3 linked regions of the Oreochromis niloticus genome follow. The protein of the gene in region 3 interacts with the protein of the main gene of each other region in a pairwise test. Links are inferred from orthologs where the notes say so. Each region holds a gene or a part of one and is shown on either strand. Other genes may lie near its edges.

What was found.
Region 1: the proteins of cluap1 (region 3) and myog interact in binary tests that used the Homo sapiens proteins (3 or more experiments, as listed by UniProt). The two-hybrid records come from large-scale screens. The link is inferred for Oreochromis niloticus from reciprocal best matches to the Homo sapiens genes CLUAP1 and MYOG.
Region 2: the proteins of cluap1 (region 3) and cinp interact in binary tests that used the Homo sapiens proteins (3 or more experiments, as listed by UniProt). The two-hybrid records come from large-scale screens. The link is inferred for Oreochromis niloticus from reciprocal best matches to the Homo sapiens genes CLUAP1 and CINP.

Annotation. Positions count from the first base shown.
Region 1 is NC_031970.2:25,640,232-25,647,190, forward strand, and holds myog (myogenin), read right to left. Parts: upstream 2,819-6,959; 5' UTR 2,701-2,818; coding exon 2,167-2,700; intron 1,598-2,166; coding exon 1,498-1,597; intron 1,410-1,497; coding exon 1,291-1,409; 3' UTR 578-1,290; downstream 1-577. UniProt on the Homo sapiens protein: Acts as a transcriptional activator that promotes transcription of muscle-specific target genes and plays a role in muscle differentiation, cell cycle exit and muscle atrophy.
Region 2 is NC_031983.2:30,840,538-30,848,324, forward strand, and holds the start of cinp (cyclin-dependent kinase 2-interacting protein), read right to left. Parts: upstream 3,054-7,787; 5' UTR 2,917-3,053; coding exon 2,910-2,916; intron 2,144-2,909; coding exon 1,981-2,143; intron 1,905-1,980; coding exon 1,775-1,904; intron 1,050-1,774; coding exon 920-1,049; intron 1-919. Other genes in the region: uncharacterized protein LOC102079865, read left to right, coding at 3,439-4,087, 4,252-4,443, 7,707-7,787. UniProt on the Homo sapiens protein: Component of the DNA replication complex, which interacts with two kinases, CDK2 and CDC7, thereby providing a functional and physical link between CDK2 and CDC7 during firing of the origins of replication.
Region 3 is NC_031980.2:33,020,662-33,028,592, reverse strand, and holds the start of cluap1 (clusterin-associated protein 1 homolog), read right to left. Parts: upstream 3,068-7,931; 5' UTR 2,931-3,067; intron 2,448-2,930; 5' UTR 2,402-2,447; coding exon 2,380-2,401; intron 2,261-2,379; coding exon 2,149-2,260; intron 1,958-2,148; coding exon 1,873-1,957; intron 1,774-1,872; coding exon 1,594-1,773; intron 1-1,593. Other genes in the region: slc5a5 (sodium/iodide cotransporter), read right to left, coding at 6,601-6,669. UniProt on the Homo sapiens protein: Required for cilia biogenesis. Appears to function within the multiple intraflagellar transport complex B (IFT-B). Key regulator of hedgehog signaling.

The sequences.
Region 1 (6,959 bases), on a different chromosome or scaffold from region 3:
TTGAGACTAGTAGATTTCGTGTGAAAAGGCCGGCCCCAGCCATGCGACCATGACTTTCTCTGTGGATGGTAGTGTGACCACTGTAGCTCTTCTCTGTTGATTCCTTACATTCTCTCAAAATCAAACTGTAAACTGCTGCTCAACATCAGCCAATGAAATCCACATGAAACTGCTCCACGTGACAGACTTGTCTAATCTTGCTCTGATTGAGCAGTCAGTACTCTTGGCTCACCAACTCCTCATCCAATAAGAACACAGCAAATGAACCAGTGAAGTGCTGGATGGGTGTACAATCTTTTTCTTTTTCTTTTTTTTTTGAAAGTTTTTCCAAGGTGTCTAAAAGGTGTAACGTGCTATGTGGCAGCTATGAGTACTGTGTCTTTATTCCAGGTGTGAAACAATGCTGACAAATCAAGATTTTATTATTTGGCTATTTAAAAAGAAGTGTAATGTATTTATGACACTATATAGACATAAGTAAAGCTGTTTTTTAAAGATTTGGTATCCTGTGTTCCTTGTTAAGTTATATGTGCCAGCGTATTGTATTATAGGCTAAAAACAACACTGGACAGCGTATTGAAAATGGTCTTTATTGTAAGAATTAAACAGAAAATATCACTTTTCAGAACATCTACAAATACACAACAATCTTAGTTATAAAAGTCCAAAATAAGTTAGCAAAAAAATAAAAATGGCAAATCCACTCTGTAGAAAAAGGGAACGTATTTACATCACTAGCATTCATAATCAGTTTAAATTAAGCAGATCTTGGTCAAAACTGCCATGGTACATATTGGCCCCACAAATAAACTCTTGTTTTTTAAGCATTAAAACTCACACACACAAAAAAAATGAATGAAAGATTAGGGAAAGCATTTGAAGAGGAAATCTTAAATTAAGTAAGGAAAGAAAACTGGATTTGTCATTCCTCTGTGGCTCTATAAATCTGGAGGCAAGCCTAACAGGGATCACGTGTAGTAAATATGTGTTGGGTTCATGCAGCAAAGTCTTTGAATCTCCTGTAGCTTTGACAAACAGGTCTGGAACATTGCATAATACAGGAAATAAAGGGAACAAAGCCTCAATGTGAACAGGAAAAGTCAGTTTGGCTAGCTGGCCCGTGGATCAACAGAGCTGCAATACTCGTCAAATGGAAACATTTTGTAATTTGGCATAAGACAAAATAATTTAATCAGCAGAAGCACAAAATAGACATAATTTAGGATTAAAGGTCACTTTGCTTTTTGTTTGAGGCTCGCTGTGCACCTACTGGCCGGCTGGTCTGAGGGTCTATTTGGGAATGTCCACAGGAAAGGCCACAGGTCCATCTGCTGCAGAGATGCTGTCCACAATGGAGGTCAAGGCCCGCATGTTCCCCTGCTCTGGAGAGTCTGCAGCGCTCAGGAGATCTGCAAAAAGACCCAGTTAGACACTAAGTATCTGTAAAGGTGCTGCCTGGTCTACCTAGTTTAATGGGACTAAGTGACCTGTGCTTACCCTCGCTGCTGTAGCTCTGCGTGCACTGCTCTGGAGTGCTGCTCCACTCCGGGCTGCTGCAGCAGGTGCTGCCTGAACTGGGCTCGCTTGACGACGACACCTGTTGCCATGGAGATGCACACACACAAGTTGCTGTCAGTCACTCTGTTATGATACAGCACGCCACACAGAAATACAACACACACTAAAGTGCAGTGTACTACCACAAATGCACATATAGTTAATGCATCCCGTGACCCCACTCAGAGGCAAATGTACACAATGAAAAAGACTTTCCATTACTACGACGCCTGTCACAGGAGTTCTTGTCAGTGTCTTTAAAAACACTAATGAGCTACACTGCATCATGTTTTTAAAAACCTTTTAAAACACAACATTTTTGCTCATTATATGGCTGAATACATATGCATAACATCAAACCTTATCCAGAATGAATAAATCAAAAGGAACATGACCAGATAATCAAATTTACACATTTTTGATTTGACATTTTACCCCAGTCATTGTTTAATGTAGTATTTATCTTTCTCTTTACTGTACCGCTCATTTTTCTCCCATATCTTCTGCCACTTTCCAACTAGTGCTGTTCCCAACTCTGTTTCCCTCTTGGCTGTTTTCTCTGTTTTTTTGAATTTCTCCCTTCCCTCATCCTGTCTCTGTCCTACTTACTCTGGGCTGAGTTGGGCTGGGCCGGTAGAGCAAACCCTGCTGTCCTGTCTCAGTGTCCTGCTGGTTGAGGGAGGACACCAGGGCTTGGAGCCTTTCAATATACTGGATGGCGCTCCGCAAGATCTCAACCTTGGGCAGCCTCTGGTTGGGGTTCATCAGCGTGCTCCTCTTCAAAGCATCGAAGGCCTCGTTCACCTTCTTTAGGCGTCTCTTCTCCCTCAGTGTGGCTGCTCGCCGGCGGTCCATGGTCACTGTCTTCCTTTTACACAGCTTACAGGCCCAGGGAAGACACTGACCTGGGCAGTGGGGCTCGGAGTGAGGCGACATGCTGGATGGAGAGGCTTTGTCCTCGGTACCTGTCACTCCAACTCCAACACCCCCAGACAGGTTCCCACACAAGCCCATCATGGAGTTCCTGTCCTGGTAGCCAGCTTGGTCATACGCCCCGGGCAGGCGAGAGGGGAAGTAGCTGTCCCCTCCTTCATAGAAGCGCTGGTCAGGGAAGAAATAAGGGTTGGTCTCAAAAAGCTCCATACTGGACAGTTGTGGTCTGGATACAAGGGAACAAAGATCCCAGCTTCCCTAGGAACTAGTCTTCAGTATGCGCTCTTCTGTCCTGTGTCTGGAGTTTGCGTTGGAGTGTACGTGTGTGCGGCTATCTTCTTCCCGGCCTGAGTTTGTGATGAGTGGAAGACGTGTGGAGAGCAACTGGTGTGGAGCAACTGTAGGCTGGCATTTAAACCCCTCTGCCTTCTGCTGGATCACAGGGTTAAATTTAGCACGAGCCCCCAGAAACCTGACACGACGTTTAGCTGTTGCTGCACATCTACACATCACATCTCTGTTTGGCCCTGCTCTCTAGGGCTTTAAGGCCCAATTGTACGCGTGCGTGTTTTTCTGTGGGTTTGTGCGCTCATGTATTTCTTAAGAGGCCAGGACATGATCAGGTTGAAATGGGAGAGACAGCCTCAGATCAAAGGTGTCCATCTTAGTAAGTTAATCCCAGACTTGCGTCCCCTTCCGAACATGAAGAGTTCCATCATTAAGTGGGGAGGCAGAAGGGACATTCTGGAAACAGCTGTCACTTCTGCTGGGAGCCAGTGGCACACAGTGACAATACGTTGTTTGACTTCAGGTTTTTGATGGGAAGTCAATGAGGCAAGAGACTGTTGTTTACTCTGGACCTCTGTGAAGCACTGTCAGACTCATAATGCGATCAACTTGGTCAATACCAAAAAAAGCTTAGGTGACATTGTTCCTGTGGTTTATGTAACTGCATTCATATCCACTGACTTTCATCCTGAGACGATTGCACTATGTGATGCAAGTGACCTTCTGAGCTATACTAGCCTCAGAACCAGGCAGGTCTGTGCAGGAACCATGAGCAGAGTGAGCTGCTAGGCTGACGCTGGCTCACATTACTCCCAGAATTTAAGGGACAGTAATGAGTCAGCCACACAGAGGGAATGGCCTTGGTTGTCCTGACCTCTTCCAGCAAGTCATAGCATTAGCTTAGCCACTGGGTGTTAATCCTTCCAGGACATGTCTCACCTCGTAGCTCATCAGCTAATTCTGACTAGCTTCCGCTAACATTGCAGCACAGCCAAAACACACACTTCTGTCAGCAGAGAAGTGGCCTGGAGTGACAGGCATATCATGAGGAGTGTTACATGAGTCTGTGCTCTATTTCTTTACAATACGTTTATCACAGTAATATAATACCTCTCAGGAGATGTTTTGGAAGAGACAAATTGCTAGCAGTTTCCTAGTAACCACAGTTCATTAAACTTAGAGGGTTGAAAGGTCTGGTGAATACCAATGCCATTGAGGCTTTAAGTTATTCTCCAACCAATGAAAGAGTAAATACAAGTTTTTTGAAACAAAAGTAAACAATACTATATCAGTGGATACCATGAGTTCAATATTTAAAATAGAGAAAATGAAGAAGAACTAAGGTCTTTATGGTGTCACGATAAGATGTGAAAAGCTAGGTTTTATACTTTTCCTGCTTATAAAATTAAAGAACAGCAAAAATTCTGTCACTTCACCTACTTCCAAGGTGCGTGGAGAGGATGAGAAACTCACAACGCAGGGACTCGAGCAACACTTAAGAGTATGACCCTGATGAAGGCCACAAGCCGAAACGCGTTGGTCATTTAATAAAGTTGTTCCTCTTTACTTTTAAGTGTTGCTGGAGTCCCTGTGTTATAAAATTAAAGAACACATTATTAATTCCTGTCTTATGTGAAAATTTTGAAAGTTCGACATACCAAGGAGCCTATCCTTTTTTAAAGCTGCTTTTAATATTTAAACTACACCAGTGTAAAACCTTCTTACATGTTAGCTTGCAAGCTAACACTATATTGTAATTTAGTTCTCTCTCTAGACCTCTACCATCCAGATCTTGTTGTTGAAACTGAGACTAGGCAACAATTTTCCAGTTTTCTATTGTCCAATTTTGTGAGCCCTTGCATATTATAAGGTTTGATGAGATGCTCTCCTGCATAGCTTGGTTGCAACAAGTAAGTTTCTGTTGTGTTCCTATCAGCTCAAACCAGTCTGTCTATTCTCCTCTAACATCAACAAGGTGTCAACAAGGCCTTTTCACCCAGATGAAAATCTACATCAAAAAAATACATATTTTTATTGCTCAGATTAATTTTTTATTGTTGAGTTTCTGACTTTTTTCCACAAGCAGCGACAAGCTCACACAGACAAACCTTATTTCGGATGAAAGAACTCATTATAACTCATTTCCTCATTATGACTGCCCCTTAAAGCCTCTATTTATTTATTTTTATTGTGGATCAGCGTTGCCTAAAAATAACAGCAGCTTGTTTAAAAGAACATATTTATAGGCATGGTTCGTGGCAGATATTTTGACATTTCGTGTAAGAGAAAGCACAGGTGCAACCAATGATAGCTGATTTCCATTTAAGCGTTCCAGGGTTGTGCTGGTTCAAAGGGTTAATGATACACAATGGAACAGAGCCTCTTATTTCTGACCGTTTATTCTTTACCTGTGTTTTATATCATTTGGAAGGTAACAAACACAAAGTTTCAGTTAGACACAATCAAAACAAAAAAATCTTACAATGTGAATTATCTACAGGGAAGTTTCAGTCCTGGGATTAGGTGCCAGGCAGAGGTTTGGCAGGCCCGTCTGGTGGCTTGTGGTCTCCTCCTGGGGTTTGGGCTTGGGTTTGAGGCAGAGTGCACAGTCTTAGCTTGGCACGGGGCTGGGTCGGCTGTCAGGTTAGTCTGTGATGGATCGTCACTGATGGTGGAGTGAGTACAAAGAAGCCTGTGTTGGACTCAGGGGTACAGCAAGGAGGGGGTTTGCAGTGTGTCAGAATCACTCATAACCCTCTGTCATCTTAACCCATTGTCAGCAGAACTAGAGAAGTGTGTGTGTGTGTGTGTGTCCCTCAGTATTTGAAGTGAACACTTAAGATACAGAACAGTTTGTTTACCTGTGGTTTGTTAATACTGTACTTTATTTTCCATCTTAAAATAGGCCAAACCAGTGAAAAATAGGCTGGCTCTAATTTAATTATAATTGATTGGCCACATGTAAGAAATAATGCAAAAAAATATAAAAAATTAATACCTATTGTGACATTTGGATTTATTCTAAGTATCAGAGCTATTGATTAAATTACTAAATAAATATTAATAATATAATATAATAATGTATTTCTTGTCCAGAGTGTTTAAGGGTCCCCTTGTGTGCAGCAGGGGGGGTGTTGCCCTGTCACTGGCAACACTGTTCCACTTCTCCTCAGTGACAAGCAACAGCACATTGTGGGACAGCTGAGCTCTGGGGGAGGAGGGAGGGATCAGTCCTCCTCACCCCAGGTTAGCCTCAAGATTTCCAGTGACCTGGAGAGCTGTCATCTGAGTGCAGTCGGGAAATCTCAGATATGTAAGAGGAGAATAACATAACAACAGCGAGGAACTGTTTATTAGAGGTGGCTAAGCCAGGTCTTCCATCCAGTGAGATACATTACGATATAAGACGCACAACAGGATACACAAGTTGTTTAAACAAATAAAATACATGCTTTTGTTTCTACTTCATTTGGATGTTCCCATAATAATTGGCAATTTAGTGTCCAGCATGAGCGCTAACCTATTATTTAGACTGAGAATTGGAAGGAAGTAGAATCATTCAATTTTGACTTTTGCTTGAAATTTTGTGAACACTTTAGAAACAACCTTTTTTGGCTTCTTTGTTACCTGCCAGGCTATGATCCATCTTGCTGCTGCAGAGATCTTTTTTTTTTTTTTTTTGATCAAGCACTCCTGGGCAGTGTAACAATGATCTTCAATTTTTCTCCATTTACGCCATCTGTCTGACTTTCTATTGTTGGACTAGAAAGTGCAGCAATAGTTCTGTAACCTTTTCCAGCCTGGTGGGCTTCAATAAGCCTTTTTCTAAGGGACCTTAGAAATCTCATTTGTGCATGGGAAGATACAGTCCCTCCAACATGACAATGGATTTTTTTTTTCTTTAAAGAAAAAGGACTGAAGAAAGACGACTTTTTTTTCTTCTTGAAATTAACTTCTAATCCTCAATATGTTCATAGACTTGCTGGTGTATTTTTCTTACTCTATAAATAACAGTTATGTTCTGCTTGAATAACTGAGTTCTGTGTTTTACACTTTTAGGATTTGTGCAAAAAATCTGGTGACCTGCTCAGATGTCTAAATGTTTATTTAGATCATTCAGAACGAGTCGGAAAGTTTGACACTTTCAAGGAAAAAGACACAGGAAATTATTAATTATTGTT
Region 2 (7,787 bases), on a different chromosome or scaffold from region 3:
GATGACATCACAGATCTATCATCATCTGTAGTCTTCATCTCCTTCATCTCTGTGGACAGTGATGCTGTCAGTTTCCTGCATTGCAAACGTTTACTGTGTTACACTCTGATCACCGATCAATCATTTCTCATAGTCACCGCTGGAGAATATCTGAGTGAAGATGAGCTCAGATGACTTTTAGACTCTTAAACTGAGACTGTGACGTTTCAAAGCTGCTGCAGACAGTCTGATTGTAATCGGATTACATTTCAGTCCTTGAATGTCATCTAACCACATTTTAAAGGTTCCGAGTCTGAGCCTCGACATGTTTGGATCTGCTTCAAAGAATCGCAGGCCCCGGAACAGAGTCCTCTTCCACGGCAGGACGGATCTAAAATGGATTCAGATCACAGATTCAGACCGGATCCGGTTCCAGCTCATCCCGTGTTACTCTATTTGGATCGTTTACAGCTTCTGCATCCCTGACTTCAACCCTCTCTGCTCAGCATGTGGGCAGCTGAGTGAAAGCTGAGCCACGTTTGTCTTTTATCATCAAAGTCGTCGGCTCGGAAACTTTGGTGTTTTACTCAAACAGTGACTGTCGGGCAGCCATCGTTGATCGTGAAGTTGATATGAGATCAGATTATAACTGTTGACACAATTTAAGTCCTCAAGCATTTTTATCCTATAATGGCAGAATTAATGGAATTTGTTATTGCTACTGATGGAACGGGCAGAAACCGCACCAGAAACAATTGAATAAAATCTGAGTAGAGGGCGGATCTGCCTGGAGGCTGTTGCTATGGGCAACTAATCTCACAGCTCCATCAGTAAACTGTGGCTGAATCATTGGATTTAAAGTGAGATGTAAAATTAAGATTAAGCTTCATCTGACCAGAGTCCAAGCTGCTACACGGTTTCCATCAGCCACGCTGCTCACCGAACTCTCTGGTGCTCCAGCTGTGAAACAGAGGAGTTTTTCTTCCTTCGGCTCCAAACTGAAACGCCTCCAGATCCTCTACTCCACGCTGTGATGTCATCAGACGATCCATCTTCGTCACCACAGCAGCCTGACGGGAAACAAGAAATGATGTCACACAAGAGGTCTTGACGCATGCTTGACGCATGCTCGATGATCCAGGTAATCCCAAAAAGTTGATTCTGTCACTTGGAAGAGTGACGAAACGTTTCTCCCACTGAAAACGCTGCGTCCTCATGAACAGAAACAAATCTGATCAGCCTATCAGAGCATAGCACGGATCTATTTCAGCGCCTTCATCGGTCACATGACACGTGTAAAATGTTTGCATGCTCAGAGGCTCCAGCAGAACACTGATAACCTCCTTCCTGATTCCTGTTATTGATTATTATCTTGCTTGATTAGCTCTGTCTGGGAGTTCAGGTTTAACTGATCCAGCTCACTCAGAGAAAGCTGGGAAATAGTGAACCTGATGATGGCATCACTTTAAAATCAACAAACTGAGATTCAGTTTAACTTCATAAAGCAGTTGTGCACATCAGCCCAAGGAGGAGGAGCCTTAATCTGTGTCACATGCTCAGTCAAGATCAATACTGATCAGCTTTTGTTCAGTGGTCAATAAAAGCTGTTTTCTCATTTTCTTTTGAAAGGTCTGTGTGAGCTTTTACTCTCTGCACTCAAATTATTGATCACTGATGGGGCTGCTGTGTGTGTGTGTGTGTGTGTGTGTGATTATTGATTATTGATTGGATTCTGAACCAGTGTTTTGTTTTTGTCTCTGAACCTAAGTGTAAATAATGTTTTTTGAAGCTTCACCATTTTGTCTACGATTTCCTGCAGTTTGAGACATTTGTCCTGCAGCTCAGAAGCTCCGCCCACGTGCTGTGGTGAGGAAGAGGGTGGAGGCGATGAAGAATTGTTGAGCAGCAGCTGATCGCTCTGAGCACTGAAAACAGATTTCAGATTGATCAATCACATGATCCATCAACACCTGGCATTCCTGAGATCATCAGTAAACTGACCGCCTCATGTTGACGATGCTTGCTGCCGCCATGAAGCCGTCCTCATTCAACCTGTCCCACCGCAGCATCATGTTGTGCCAGTCGGCAGCGTTGTCTTTAATCTTTCTCGCACTTCCTGTGATCGCAGCAGACTTCCTGTTTGCTGACGTGACTGAGATGTCACCTGAGAACAGAGTCACGTGATTTTGTTGTTGAGTGTTTTAGTGACAGAGTGTGCAGGCGACACGACAAGACAATCAATAAAACTTGTGTAAACCACGGTCCTCAACGTGCAGCTCGCCGCCTCAAAGCAGCCTCTGTCACTTCCTGTGATGTCACAGCTCAGAACGTGACAACAACATTTCTAAACTTTTTGTCAAAAAAATCATTTAAAAAACATACAAATGTCAAAAATAGACATAAAATGAAGTAAAGCAAAATCAAAACAAACAAATACATCATCATTCAGCCGTCAAAGGTCAACCGTAACCAACCCTAACCCACCATGAAGCAGGTTCAACATATCCAGGATTTCTTGCCTTGTCTGGCTTTACTGATCCTGACCTCGTCCACTCGAGCTCTGCAGCAGAGGTCACCTTATCCAGGTAACTCAGGGTTTACCTGGCTTTAGCCGGGTCAGGGGGTATTTCACCATGCTATGCCGGTATGAAGCTATAATGTTTCCTGCTGATCAATAATCGATACCAAGCTGCCCACCTTCATGGTCCACGTGACTCCAGCCAAAGGTGAAATCCTACATGGACCTCAGGTGTATACATATGACGTCACTCTTTGTTGTCGTTCTAGTCTCTGAGCTCTGACCCTGAGCGCGCGCCCGCATGACCGCTGATTAATAACGGAAAGGCTTACGCCAGTCAGCTGATAATTTTTGCTGCGCGTGCCATCGATCAGCTGGTTAGTCACGTGTGGATCGATTATCAATCACCCACCTTCCATCTGATCGATCAGCTCCGACCAGCTCCGCCCGCTCAGCTTCTTCTTCGGTGGTTTTTCTTCCAGTCGTCTTCTTTGACCGCGGGTGTCTGGTTTCCGGTCTCGGCTCTCAGGTGAACTCACCTGTGCGCGAGAAGCTCTGTTCTGACCTTAAACTGGTTTTCTGCTCTTACACGTGACTGACGATGCCGCCCTTTCAATTCTCTGACATGCGCAATAGCGTCTGAAACTTACTGGCAGTGACGTCAGCACTGGAACCGGATGTTGTAAGTAAGTGTCACTGCGCCTGCGCTAAGACTGGGACTGCCGTACTTTTACTGACTCTCTTTTTCTGTGGAGATCTTTTAAAAGCTGGCGATAATCGATAATATCACGCAGGCGCAGTTAGAGTGAGAAGAACTGTCGGAGTTGACCACAGACACGATCAAGGATCGATATCAGCTAATCAGAAACGCGGTGTTGTGGCTGTGATGACGTCAGGGCCGCTGCTCAGGTAGCTCCCTGATCGATAATCGGAGGTGAGAGATGGCGCTGCAGCTTCCGGCCGAGTTGTGGCTGAAGGTGTTCAGCTTCCTGTCCTGGAGGGACAAACTGAGCATGCGCTGCACCTGCTCATACTTCAGACACCTGCTGGATAAGTCCCGCCCCCTGTGGAGGGGCTTCAGCGTGGTGCTGCAGAACCTCTCGCGCTACAACCCCTCGTTCTGGCGTAGCCTGGCTCAGAGGCACGTGGGCAACGTGCTGCTGCGCTCAGGTAAGAGGAAGCACCTGAAGCAGCTGTACACCTGGCTGCCGGCGCTCTGCGGCCTGCGACTGGACGACTGGAGAGAAGGGGGCATGGATGATCTCAGACTATTCCGCCAGCTTCAGCGACTGTCCGTCACATCCGGTTCTACACCGCTGAGGAACCTGGACTTCCTGTTTCCTCTGAGTCAGCAGCTGACACAGCTCGGCCTCTGTAATGTGCAGCTCACCTGTTCTGCCTCTCACCTGTTGGCCGCCATTGGTCAGCTGACGCGTCTGACCTCACTACTGCTGCACCATGACGGCAGCCTAAGGGTCCCGTCCCTCAGCGGCGTCCTCGCTCACCTGACCGAGCTCACACACCTGTCCTGGACCATGATCACCTACAGGACGCTCCCACATGACTTCTTCAGCCCCGCCCACCACACAGGTAGGCACACCTGGATCAGTCACTTGCTGAGATATTTAATAGTTAGATTATTGATCTTGAAGGAAGGGAAGGGTAGGCACTGGTGTGTTCTGCCTTCCTGCTGAACCTGCCTCACCTCTGAGATGGAACAGAGGTGAGATCACATGTCACGTATCGTCCTGCAGGTGATGTTGCACTACAGCTGCTGGACTTGCAGCTGCTGAATTATGACGCCGTGGTGACACAGGAAACACTGCAGCCTTTGTCCCGCCTCCGTACCCTGTCAGTGTTCCACCTGTACTCCGTACCTGGACCCACCTGTCACCTGCAGACGTGGCTGACGTCACTGCCACACCTAACCAACCTCAGCATCCACGGTGAGTGTGTTTCCCCCCTTTGTATTTGTCTATCTGAGCATCTCTCTGATGTCTGCAAGTTCAATAGAGATTGAAAATGTGATGTCATTCTGGGGTAAAACTGCAAAGGATTGTGGATACGAGTGGCAAGTGGTACTAGCGCGCACAGGGTTTCACAAGAAAACAGTCACACGGTGATAAAAAGAAACACAAAGAATGGCAAGAAGCTGTTGTATTATTAACTGCAATAGCCGGTCGCATGACAGCCACGGGAAGCCAACGGGTAAAGAGATCGGTTGTTATCGTATTACGTCGTGGAAGAGAAATTGTTAAAGCCGTGTTTCTGAAGTAACAAAGAGCCGACGGATGGCCTGGATTGCAGCCATTCAAAGACCAAATATAACGTCCCAGAACACTCCAGCTCACATGTTAGTCTGCTCCAAGCATTTCCACAAAGGTACGTCTTCTGTTGTAGTTATTACGTAATTTATCATAACATAATTGTTGATGTAGGTTACAAATAAGTCTTATATTGATTTGAATTGAATTCGTTGCGTTATGCTGCTTTGTTCACTGTGGCTTTGCGGGCTAATGTTTGTTGTGTTTTGTAGGAAAACCAGCCTACAAAATGCTGGAATGCATCCAGACCAGGCACCTCTATCACCCTGGGTCATACCGAGGTTAAAGCTGCTACCACAGCCAGATTTGATCCGTTAAGAGAGAGAGCGATATCAAAACAGCCACGAAACGTCCCGCATATATGTGCCCAAGGGGGTTGTATTGTTTTGTTTTTTGTTTGTTTTTTGTTTTTATTGATTAGCATTTAAATATCTCAGTGAATATAGAATAAAGATTACCACAAAGCAAGAAAGCATGAGACAAGGCTAATCAAAAGGTATTGGCTGAAGCATTTGCTTATTACGCCAACCCTTTTAACAAAAGATCTTTTTGAAGCAATCAAGTGATGAATAACTGTTTTCCAGTATGTTGTTTTGCAGTGTTGTTTTTTTGTTTTGTTTTTTTGCATTTTTGATTTGTTTTTCACCGAAGCAGCTAATAAAGAATGATGGATTTTTACAATTTTGCCTCTTTCTTGTAAGATTCTATAATAGAATCAAACAATAATGCCAGTTATAAATAAAGACAATAAATTGAATGAATTACGAAACACTCATTTTATTTCTATTAGATCGGAAAATGTTGTGTAATACCACAACCTGAAACCACAAATAGATGCGTTTGCCTGTACAGGAGATAAAGGAAAAGAATTTAACAACAGCTGTGAAATGGAATAGTCCAAATCACCAAAGTAAACTGGACCTGGGCTTGTTGCAGGGATCTGAAGTTAATAAGATAAGATAAAAATGTATTAATCCCTCGGGTGGGTTCCTCTGGGAAATTCAGTTTCCAAATAGCCCAGCACCGACAGAACTTAGAGAATGTGAGCAGAATAGCATACACATATATAAATAAAGAGACATGTATAAATAAAGAGTATACAAAAGGGATAAATAGAATAAATAGGAATAAGAATACAAGGGAATTGCACATTTCAAGTATTGAAGTCTATTGCACCGTTGGTTATTAACAAAAACTATTGCACAGTGAAAAGGCACTACAGCTTAGTTGTCCCCCCCTTCCTTTGTCCTCCTGTTTCCCCTCCCTCTCCCCTCCAGAGAGGAGTTAAACAGTTTGATGGCGTGTGGGACAAAGGAGTTTTTAAGTCTGTTGGTTCTTGTCTTTGGGAGAAGCAACCTGTCACTGAGCAGACTCCTCTGGTTGTTTATGGCCGTGTGCAGAGGATGCCCAGCATTGTCCATAATGTTCAGCAATTTCTTTAATGTCCTCTTCTCTGCCACTGACACCAGAGTGTCCAGCTTCATGCCGACCACAGAGCCAGCCTTCCTGATCAGTTTTTCCAGCCTGGATGAGTCCTTCTTTGCTGTGCTGCTCCCCCAGCACACCACAGCATAGAAAAGTACTCCAGCAACCACCGACTGGTAAAACATCCTCAGGAGCTTCCTGCAGATGTTAAAAGACCTCAGCCTCCTGAGGAAATACAGTCGGCTTTGGGCTTTTTTATACAGGTGCTCTGTGTTCCATGACCAGTCCAGTTTGTTGTCCACCCACAGCCCGAGGTACTTGTACTTGTTGACCACCTCCACCTCCTCCCCCTCTATCTGAACCGCCAGTGGACCTGCTCTGGACCTCCCGAAGTCCACAACCAGTTCCTTGGTCTTTGAGGTGTTGAGTTGCAGGTGGTTAGTGTGACTCCATGTGACGAAGTTCCTCACCAGACTTCTGTACTCCTCTTCCTGATTATCCCAGATACACCCCATAATGTCTGTGTCGTCTACAAATTTCTGAATATGGCATAATTCAAAGTTGTAGCAGAAGTCAGAGGTGTACAGGGTGAAGAGAAGAGGGGACAGCACAGTTCCCTGTGGTGCTCCTGTGCTGCTGACCACAGTGTCAGACATGATGTCCTTCAGCCTGACGTACTGTGGTCTGTCAGTGAGGTAGTCGGAGATCCAAGCAACCAGGCAGGGGTCCACCTGCATCCTGTTTAGTTTCTCCTGGAGCAGACAGGGCCGGATGGTATTAAAGGCACTGGAAAAGTCAAGAAACAGGATCCTGACCGTGCCTTTTCCCTTGTCCAGGTGTGAGTGGGCTCTATGTAGATGGTACAGGACAGCATCCTCCACTCCGACACCCGCCTTGTATGCGAACTGTAGTGGGTCCTGGGCATGTTGTACCTGTCGTCGGAGGAGTTTGAGGAAGAGCCGCTCTAGAGTCTTCATAAGATGTGACGTCAGTGCCACCGGTCGGAAGTCATTTAGCTCATTGGGCCGGTTCCTTTTGGGGACCGGGACGATGCAGGATGTCTTCCATAGTAATAGTAATAAACATCTTGTGAGTGTATGCACTCACACTTAGAACCATATAATAATAAATATGTGCGTGATGAAAGTTGGGCAGCACGCTGACGTCCTTACTCCACCCTGTACGCTCGTATGGGTCTGACCCTTTCACTCCTTTGATTTTTTCGTCGTCCTTTTTTTTGCCTTTTCGTCAAGTCTGTCTTCGTACGAACCTGCCGTGTTCTCCGTCGTTTTGTACATAACTGTTTTGGGGGCAAATAAAATGCAAGTAGGGATTAAAACCGCAGAATTAATGATTACCGGTGCTGGAAATACTAGCGCTTGATGCAGTGTTTTGATTTTGTTGACACTCGTACCCACAATGCAATGCGCGAAAGTCACGTGATCTGTCAATCTCTACAGGAGGCCACCCCCTGTCAGCGTACGCTGACTTCCTGCCCATCTCGCTGCTCAGCCTGACGCTGTGCGTGGACCTGCAGCCCG
Region 3 (7,931 bases):
AGCTTTGCATGTCCTTCAAAGAGCTTGGAGAACTATTCTTGAATTTATGGTTCAGCAGGGAGCGCATATTTGCAGTCCCAGGATGGCCCATCTACCTGCAGAGAGCTTTGTTGTCGATGGAGACAGCCTACAAAGTATGTGGTGCAACTAGTCTGTAGGCGATCCTTGTTTGTTCTGTTGTTGGTCCATTAGCCAGCAGTGGAGAAGAGTGAAGTTGTAACATAAAAAAATCTGAAGTGAAACTGAGCGTTGAAAACAATGAAATGTGTCCACTACAGCCGCTGTCTGTACTTCTCGTACTATTTTTTTTTTTATCTTTGAAGGGTTTTTTGTTTTTTTTTGCATTTCTCACATTCCCTTCTGCTCCTGTTCCTCCCTTCCCTCCCTTCCCTTTTCTGGCCAACTTGTCAGCCAATCAGCATTTGACAGATACATAGGTCATTCGATCTTGAACCGCATAGGAGCACATCTGCAGTAGACAAAAATCCCTCTCTGCTTGCTGTCTGAACAGAAATGTGAGAAATGTGTACAAAGACAGGCACGTTTACAGGACTACAAATTACGCTTATTAGCCATGGATTGGCCTTCCCAGAGCCCGGACCTCAACATTATTGAAGCAGTGTGGGATCGTCTGGACAGAAAAATGAACAAAAGACAGTGAATATTCAAAGAAAAACACTGAATGTCCTTTAAGAAGCCTGGAGAACTATTCCTGAAAATTACTTAGAAATTAGAAGAAAACTTGGCTAACGGAGTTCAGGCTGTGTTGAAGAATAAAAGGTAGTCACACAAAATTAAGCTTGTTAGAATTGTACAAAAAAAGATTTTTGCACAGCACTGTATGTCAGAGCTGGATACAATTTAGTACTAAGACTCAATCTTAAGGAAAATTAAGACAATCTGTTGCTTCTAACATTAATTATTCAGTTACAGCCAAAACTTAAGTAGCTATTGTCTTACATTTGTGTGCATGGTGATTCTGTCACAATACTTTGCAGATGAACAGCTTGGAAAATGTTTGGAAGTGACTGCTGGTGAACAGAGTCTTAAAAAGCCATATCTGTGTCACCAATTCACAGTTGTTTCATTGTATAACAACAGAAACATAAATTCAAGTAAATGCAAAAAGCTGAATTTATCCTGCACTGAAGCACAAAAGGTAATGTAAAAACACAACCTACACTCTGTCCTGTTCATAACATTAAAGCCATTTAATTAGTGTTAGCCACATTAATTACGCAATGTGCTAACACTGAGAATTTTGTACTTGTTGTTGGGACCTGAATATAATACACAGCATCCTCAGAACATTTAGCAGACTTTGCTCATCGCTGAGACATTTTACAGCTGCAGTTAGCAGAAGTGGCTCCTGTGAGGAAATAAGAATGGCTGTTTCATTCTGAAACACTGCATATATGGTATTTGCTTTAATTTATCTTGGTTTCAAACACTTCCCCAAATTAAATGTCACCTAGTGCACATTTTCTTTTTTAAATTCCACAGGGATGAGAGTCTCATAATGTAAATAAAGTATGTGACAGAGGATTTAGTAAAACAGGCGTAACATTACACACAGCGTAGTTTGCACCTCACCCGAGAGCCAAGGTCAAACTTGAACTTGCTGTTGTCCTGCTCAACTTTGTCTCCCAGAGCCATCTGCTTGGTTTTCATAGCACTGTACAGCACTGAGGTGATCTTCAGCATCTCTTTCACTGCATAGCCGTCAGCCTGGTAGAGACGCTTAGTGTTCAGCTTGATGTGAGCCTTTGTTGCCTGGAACACAAGGAGACACTGTTGAGGATGCAGTAATAACGGACATTCATTTGGCAAGAATAAACTCTACAGTTTATAAAATACTAAAGAATATGTCACCATGAACTGAGCCACAGCCTTGATGAAGAATATTCTGTCAGCTTCTGTGTCCACATCAGTAGGAACATCACTCTGAGGTTCATATCTATAAGGATGAAAAGAAGGAAAGGGGGCAAAAGGCAAAAAAAGCAAAATATATCACAGTATCCTCCACTAGAAACATGATGCTTTAACATGGCCGTGTACAAATACAGACAGAAAAATGTGGAGGACAGACGTTAACAGTGGCAGGATTATTTAGATAAACAATTCGATTTTTTTTAGGCTCAAGCATACCTCTTCACAAGCCATTTCAGGATTTCTGCCACAAGAGAGAAATTTGGAGTCCTGAAGTTCTCCATAGAGATCAAGCGAGGATAGCCTAAGGCCCTCATCATTTCTGTGAAATCTGACACATAACATAAAACTCCAATTAACTTCTCACTCAGTTATCTTCTTAAAACAAATAAACAAACCAAAAAAGTGGTCATTACAAACAGCGAAGAGCAGACAGTAAACATCACTTACTTCTTAAATCTCGGAAAGACATTTTCAGCTGATTGCACTGTGCGCCAAAGCTTAGACCACTTTGTCCTCTAGCAGGAAAGAAGAAAGAGCATGTGTTAACAGCAGACGAGCTACCGACTGTGCACGTAGGTTTATCTTCGAGACTGGCAGGTTTTCAGTGAGAATTTAGTGTTTGGGGTTTATTACATTAGAGCTGACGTGATTATCATTCACGACATGAAACTTTGTGCTAAAAAATACAGACTTCAGTCACTATTTTAAAAACTGTAACACAGCTGTGATAGAATCACCGACGATTTCCCCGCTGATTTGTATTCCCGCACAGGACACCGTATGTTATATGTGAACCTAATCTTGGTGTAGTTTAAGGAGCATGGCTTCAGACAAAAAAGCTTAGCTAGCTCGTAGAAGGCTTTAAGTGAGTAGAAAGCTATCGCTTGTTATGGTTTTTAACTAACCTTACGTTAATCAGTGAAAAGACAATATATATATTTTCAACGACGAAATTAGTTGTTATTAAACGTAACACGTCTTGTTTCAGGCATCATTACCTGGTCTAGTTGCTCCAAGCTAAGTGATCGGTGGCCGCTATGAGAGACGGTCTCTATGGAAACCAAATTCTTCTACGGAAGCTCAAGACACTCAAAAATGTTATCTGCCATAAAATAGCTTACACACACTTCTCGGTGTGCATCGCCTGGATTGTGCTGTATATATAAGTAGGAGTAGCGTACACTTGTTTTACACTAAAATAAGTTTTAAAAAAAGTTTTTAGTTTACACCTTTTATGACGATGTTTTCTACACTTCTATTTTTTTTTTTTTTAAATCACACTTATAAAATCTATGTTTCCCTCACTGATGTCAAATCCACAATTACACTCTATACAGTGGAGTTGTGTGCCATTTTCAAGTTGTAGCACAACTGTAAAAAATAAAGAAATAAATGGAAACTTTCAATGTTCAATTGTGAATAAAATATGGGCTTATGAGATTTCCAAAATCATTGAATTCTACTTTTATTAACATTTTACACAGCATCCCAAAACATAAAACAAAGCAGGTAATTTGCATGTTAATACCAAATCATTTGTATATCAAAAAAATAAAAAGGTGGGTGTATTAAAAATATATCAAAGAAATACTTTGGTTAAAAGGGAATATTAATACCCAGTTAAAAGTTTTTTTAATAAAAGGTAAATGGAAACAGGCACTGGAGAGAAGTGTTAATCATTTGGCAAAGAAAACAACATTGTAGTTAGTAAAAACGACAGATTGGACTGGGAAGCACCCCCCGTAGTTTAGGGTATAACTGTAGTCATTGGATTTTTACATTATATCTGTAGAAACCTAAACTAAACTTTCAAATATAAAGTGGAAAGCACAGTATTTGTGTCTTTAGTTGATCATAAAGCAGCACAAGATGGAAAAAGTCAAATAAAATGCTTCAGAATAACCATTTGAATAAAAAGTCTTATTAAATGTGGAAGAGTACATTTTTCCTGCATTTGTGTGAAGTGTGTAAAGCAGGGATGTCAAACTGATTTTACATTGTGGGACATGTACGACTCACTTTGATCATAAGTGAACCAAGTGAAACCAGTGAAACTCCCCTTTCCGTCACTGTAAAGACATTTAGGTAAACATCTAAACCCTGACTTATCTTTATATAAGAAAAGCATTTCCTATGTTTTGTCCATGATAAAAGGTGTAAAATAGTAAATACACGACCCTTGAAAAGTTCTTTTATTTGATAGCAGAAGATTTCTATAGTACATATAGTAGATGCTGGAAAAGCAGGAACTTTTCTGTCATTTATCTATGACATAAGTGTAGGGTATGAGCGAGGTGTTTATCAATAGAAAAAGCTGTAAAACTTGAGAAAATACAGTCCGAAATCTATGCACTCCTTCACATTTTCCAAAGCATTCTGGTCAGGCAGACTTTCCTGGGCCGATTCTGACCGCCGAGCCCTATCTTTGACACCCCTGATGTAGAGGAAATCTCTCTATGAACCAACATTTTTGATTTGACGGATTGTTTGTTTTCTCTGCAGGACGCATTATCATTATCTGTGGATGTGTGATATTTTTATTCTTCTGACGAAAGTTTAAAATGCTGAAAATCTAATCAAACATCACTTTAGTCTTTAGTGAAATACCAAAAAAGATAGAAAACATGTATCAGCAAGGGCATTCAGGACAGTGCAGGGAACCAATCTGAGATTAGAGCGAGCCTCTTCCAGAAGAGGGCAGTAGTGAGATTCAAAGACGCCAGCTGGCCGCTAAACCCCCAGAAGAAGAAAGAGACGCAGAGCATGATGGAGCAGACCGGCGAGGCCCATCATAACAAGAACAACTCGTCTGGCAATGAACCTCCAGCCTGCGGCCTCCACAGTAAGCGCCTGAAAGAGCTGGAGAATGCCGCCCTGCAGACCACTTTAATATCGCGGATGGAGACCGAATCGGGGGCCGACGGCGGGAGCTGGACGGAGCAGGAGCCCGTGGAAGGCGAGCAGTCGAACGGCTTGTCCTTGAACCACCGGTCCGGCCCTCCGCAGCAGCCTGGCGCGGATACCGAAATCGAGGAAGTGGAGCCGGATAGAAACGTGGCCAAGGAGCGGGTCGAAGAGGAAAGGACGCTGACGGACCATTTGAATAAACGACTCCTTTCGTCGTTTCTGGAAAAGCTTAACGAACGGGACCTGGCGCTTCCCGGTGTGCAGCGCCTGGACTGTGCTGTAGCCGACGAGGACTCTAACAGGGCCGCGGACGAGTGGTGAAGAAACCCAGTAGCTTATGCGACAACATGGAGGTGTTTGAGGGGTTCAGGACAAACGTGCACGGAAGCACAACCTCACCGCTTTAAAGACTGAACTGCAGTCATTCCTGCCAGCTTATAAGAGTGAAAATGGAGTGTGACGAAATATGTTTACTTTTGTAAGGCCACCATGGATGAAAGGTTGATTTAAAATGCAATAAATGAAATTACTGTGTTATAAAACACTTTCGTTCTCATTGATTTCTATGTAGTTGGCAGCCATGATGGATGCAGCCATGCGCGTGTGTGGGTGGGTTTTTTTTTTTTTTTTTTCTTTCTTGCATTTTTTGTGTGACAGTAACTGATCACCAGGGGTCATCATTCACAAAACAAACCTCTTCAGCCTGTTTCTTACGCTGAGGTCTCATTTTTGAGAATAACGTTTATTCATTTAGTTTTATATTTATTGCCTTAAATTAGCACACAAGATTCCAGAGGGATACATCTCACAATAAATATCACTATTTGTGTGACTACTATGACCTAATATATATACCCAGCAATAACGGTTCACTTCCTGTCAGGACACTTTAGGTGTGAATGCAGTCGCAGGTGTTGTGGTGTGGAATTTAGTTGTATTTGCTGTGCATTTAGGGTGAAGTGTGAAACTTTGAAAGTACAAAGAGGGTGTTCTCTGTTGTGCTGATGGGGTGTGTTCGTAATGTTGCATGGCTGCAGAAAACAAGTGCAGCGTAAAAAAATAAAGCTCAGCTCCAAACTCTGAGGGAATTGAACCGGGGAATAGCTTGTTTTACCCCTTTATTTTTCTTGTTTACACGCATGGGGTTACTTTTGCATCGAAGGTTAGGTGGCTTTCTTTTTATTTCTCAGATGCCTTTTTGTATAATTGTGTAAAATTGATCTTGGCCACTGAGCCATTTATCTTTGTTTTTTTTAGAGGTAGACCTGCAGTCCACAGTTAAGTAGAAAGTCATAACTGGTACGTTATTAAAGGGAAAAAACCCTCATTCTTTAGGAGGAAGTTTTAGGCTCATTTGAGCAGATGTTAAATGATTGCTGAATGAGGAAGCAAGGGTTGAATTACAGTTTAAGCATACCCAGTGTACCTGCCCACATGTCGGTTAATGCTGGTTGAAGTGCAGGTGTGCATTGTTAGGAATATGGAACATACCAGAATGAGTGTTCCCATGAAAGCCTTTCATCACCTCTGATAGACTGTACTTATAGTTTCTTGGCAAAGGTGTAACTTAAATATGAGGCAGAGTTAGAACCAAAAGATATAGAGAGAAAAACTTTGAAAATGAAAACAACCCCTAAATTTATCAGTGCTGATAGAGAGAAGATAGCACCATGATGTGTTCCAGTGGGATAAGTAGTCTTCTAACAGCTATGAATTGTGCAGTGACTTTATTTTCTGTTGTCTCTTTGGTCTTCCTCCACTTCATTCGTCCTGCTTGTCCATCTTCATCAAAGACACACACTGTAGTTCTTCTGACACTTTGTCTCCCTCCTGAAAACAAAACAGAACCACAGTTAGAGAAAAAGTAAAAAAAAAAAAAAAAAGCAAGAGGCTGACACAAATCTACAATAATGCCTTCTTTATGCACTAACTTTGTTACACCTATTCAACTGCTTTTAACTAATGTATAATCAATCAGGTAGCAGCAGCTCAATGCATTTAGGCATGTAAGCACAGTTAAGACGACCTGCTGAAATTCAAAACAAGCATCAGAATAGGAAAGACAAATGTGGCATGGTTGTTGGTGTCAGGTGGTGTGAGTATTTCAGAAACTGCTGATTTGCTGGGATTTTCCCACACAAAAAGTTCCAAAGTTTACAGATAATGGTCTGAGAAAGAGTTCCCCCAGTTCCCTGGGGGAAAATGCTTTGATGATGTCAAAGGTCAAAGGAGAATGGCTGGCTGCTTTCAGCTGATAGGAAAGTGACAGCAACGCAAATATCAGTTGCTACAACTAAGGTTTGCAGAAGAGCATCTTTCAAAGCACAACATAGCAGATGGACTACAGCATGAGAAGACCACAATGAATACCTCTATTCCTGTCAGCATAGAACAAGAAACAGCCTGTAAATTTGCCCACCAAGCTTAGGCAATAGAAGATTAAGAACAACATTCTGCAACTTCTGCAACATTCAGATTTTAGGGTCAGAATTTGGCATAAACAACATGAAAGAATGGATTCATCCTGCTTTGTACTGACAGTTCAGACTGGTGGTGCAATGGTGTAAGGACAAGAATATTCTTGTCATGTTTTGGGCCACTTATTACCAACAAAGCAATGTCTTATCCCCACAGCCAGCCAGAGTATCGTTGTTGATGAAACTGACTTCTTGAACATGACAATGAGTTCACTGTACTCAAATGGCCTCTACTGTCATAAACATAGAATAAAGCACCTTCGGGATGTGGTGGAAGGGAAGATTTGCAGCGAATAATCTGCAGCAGCTGTGTGATGCTGTCACATCAATATGGACCAAAATTTCTGAGGAATGTTTCCAACACCTTATTGAATCTGTGTCATGAAGAATTAAGGCTATTGTGATTAAAAAACGAGGCTCTGACCAAGGTGTAACTAACAAAGTGGCTGATGAGTACATACTTAAAATAAGGAAAAGTGAAAACTTCTTGGACAAGAAATCTTTAACAGACTGATCATAATTTCTGTGTTTACACTAACACCAAAAAAATCTCCATATTCCACTCTGATGTCACATGTTTATTTATAAAGCAATAATTACCTTTTAAAACAGATT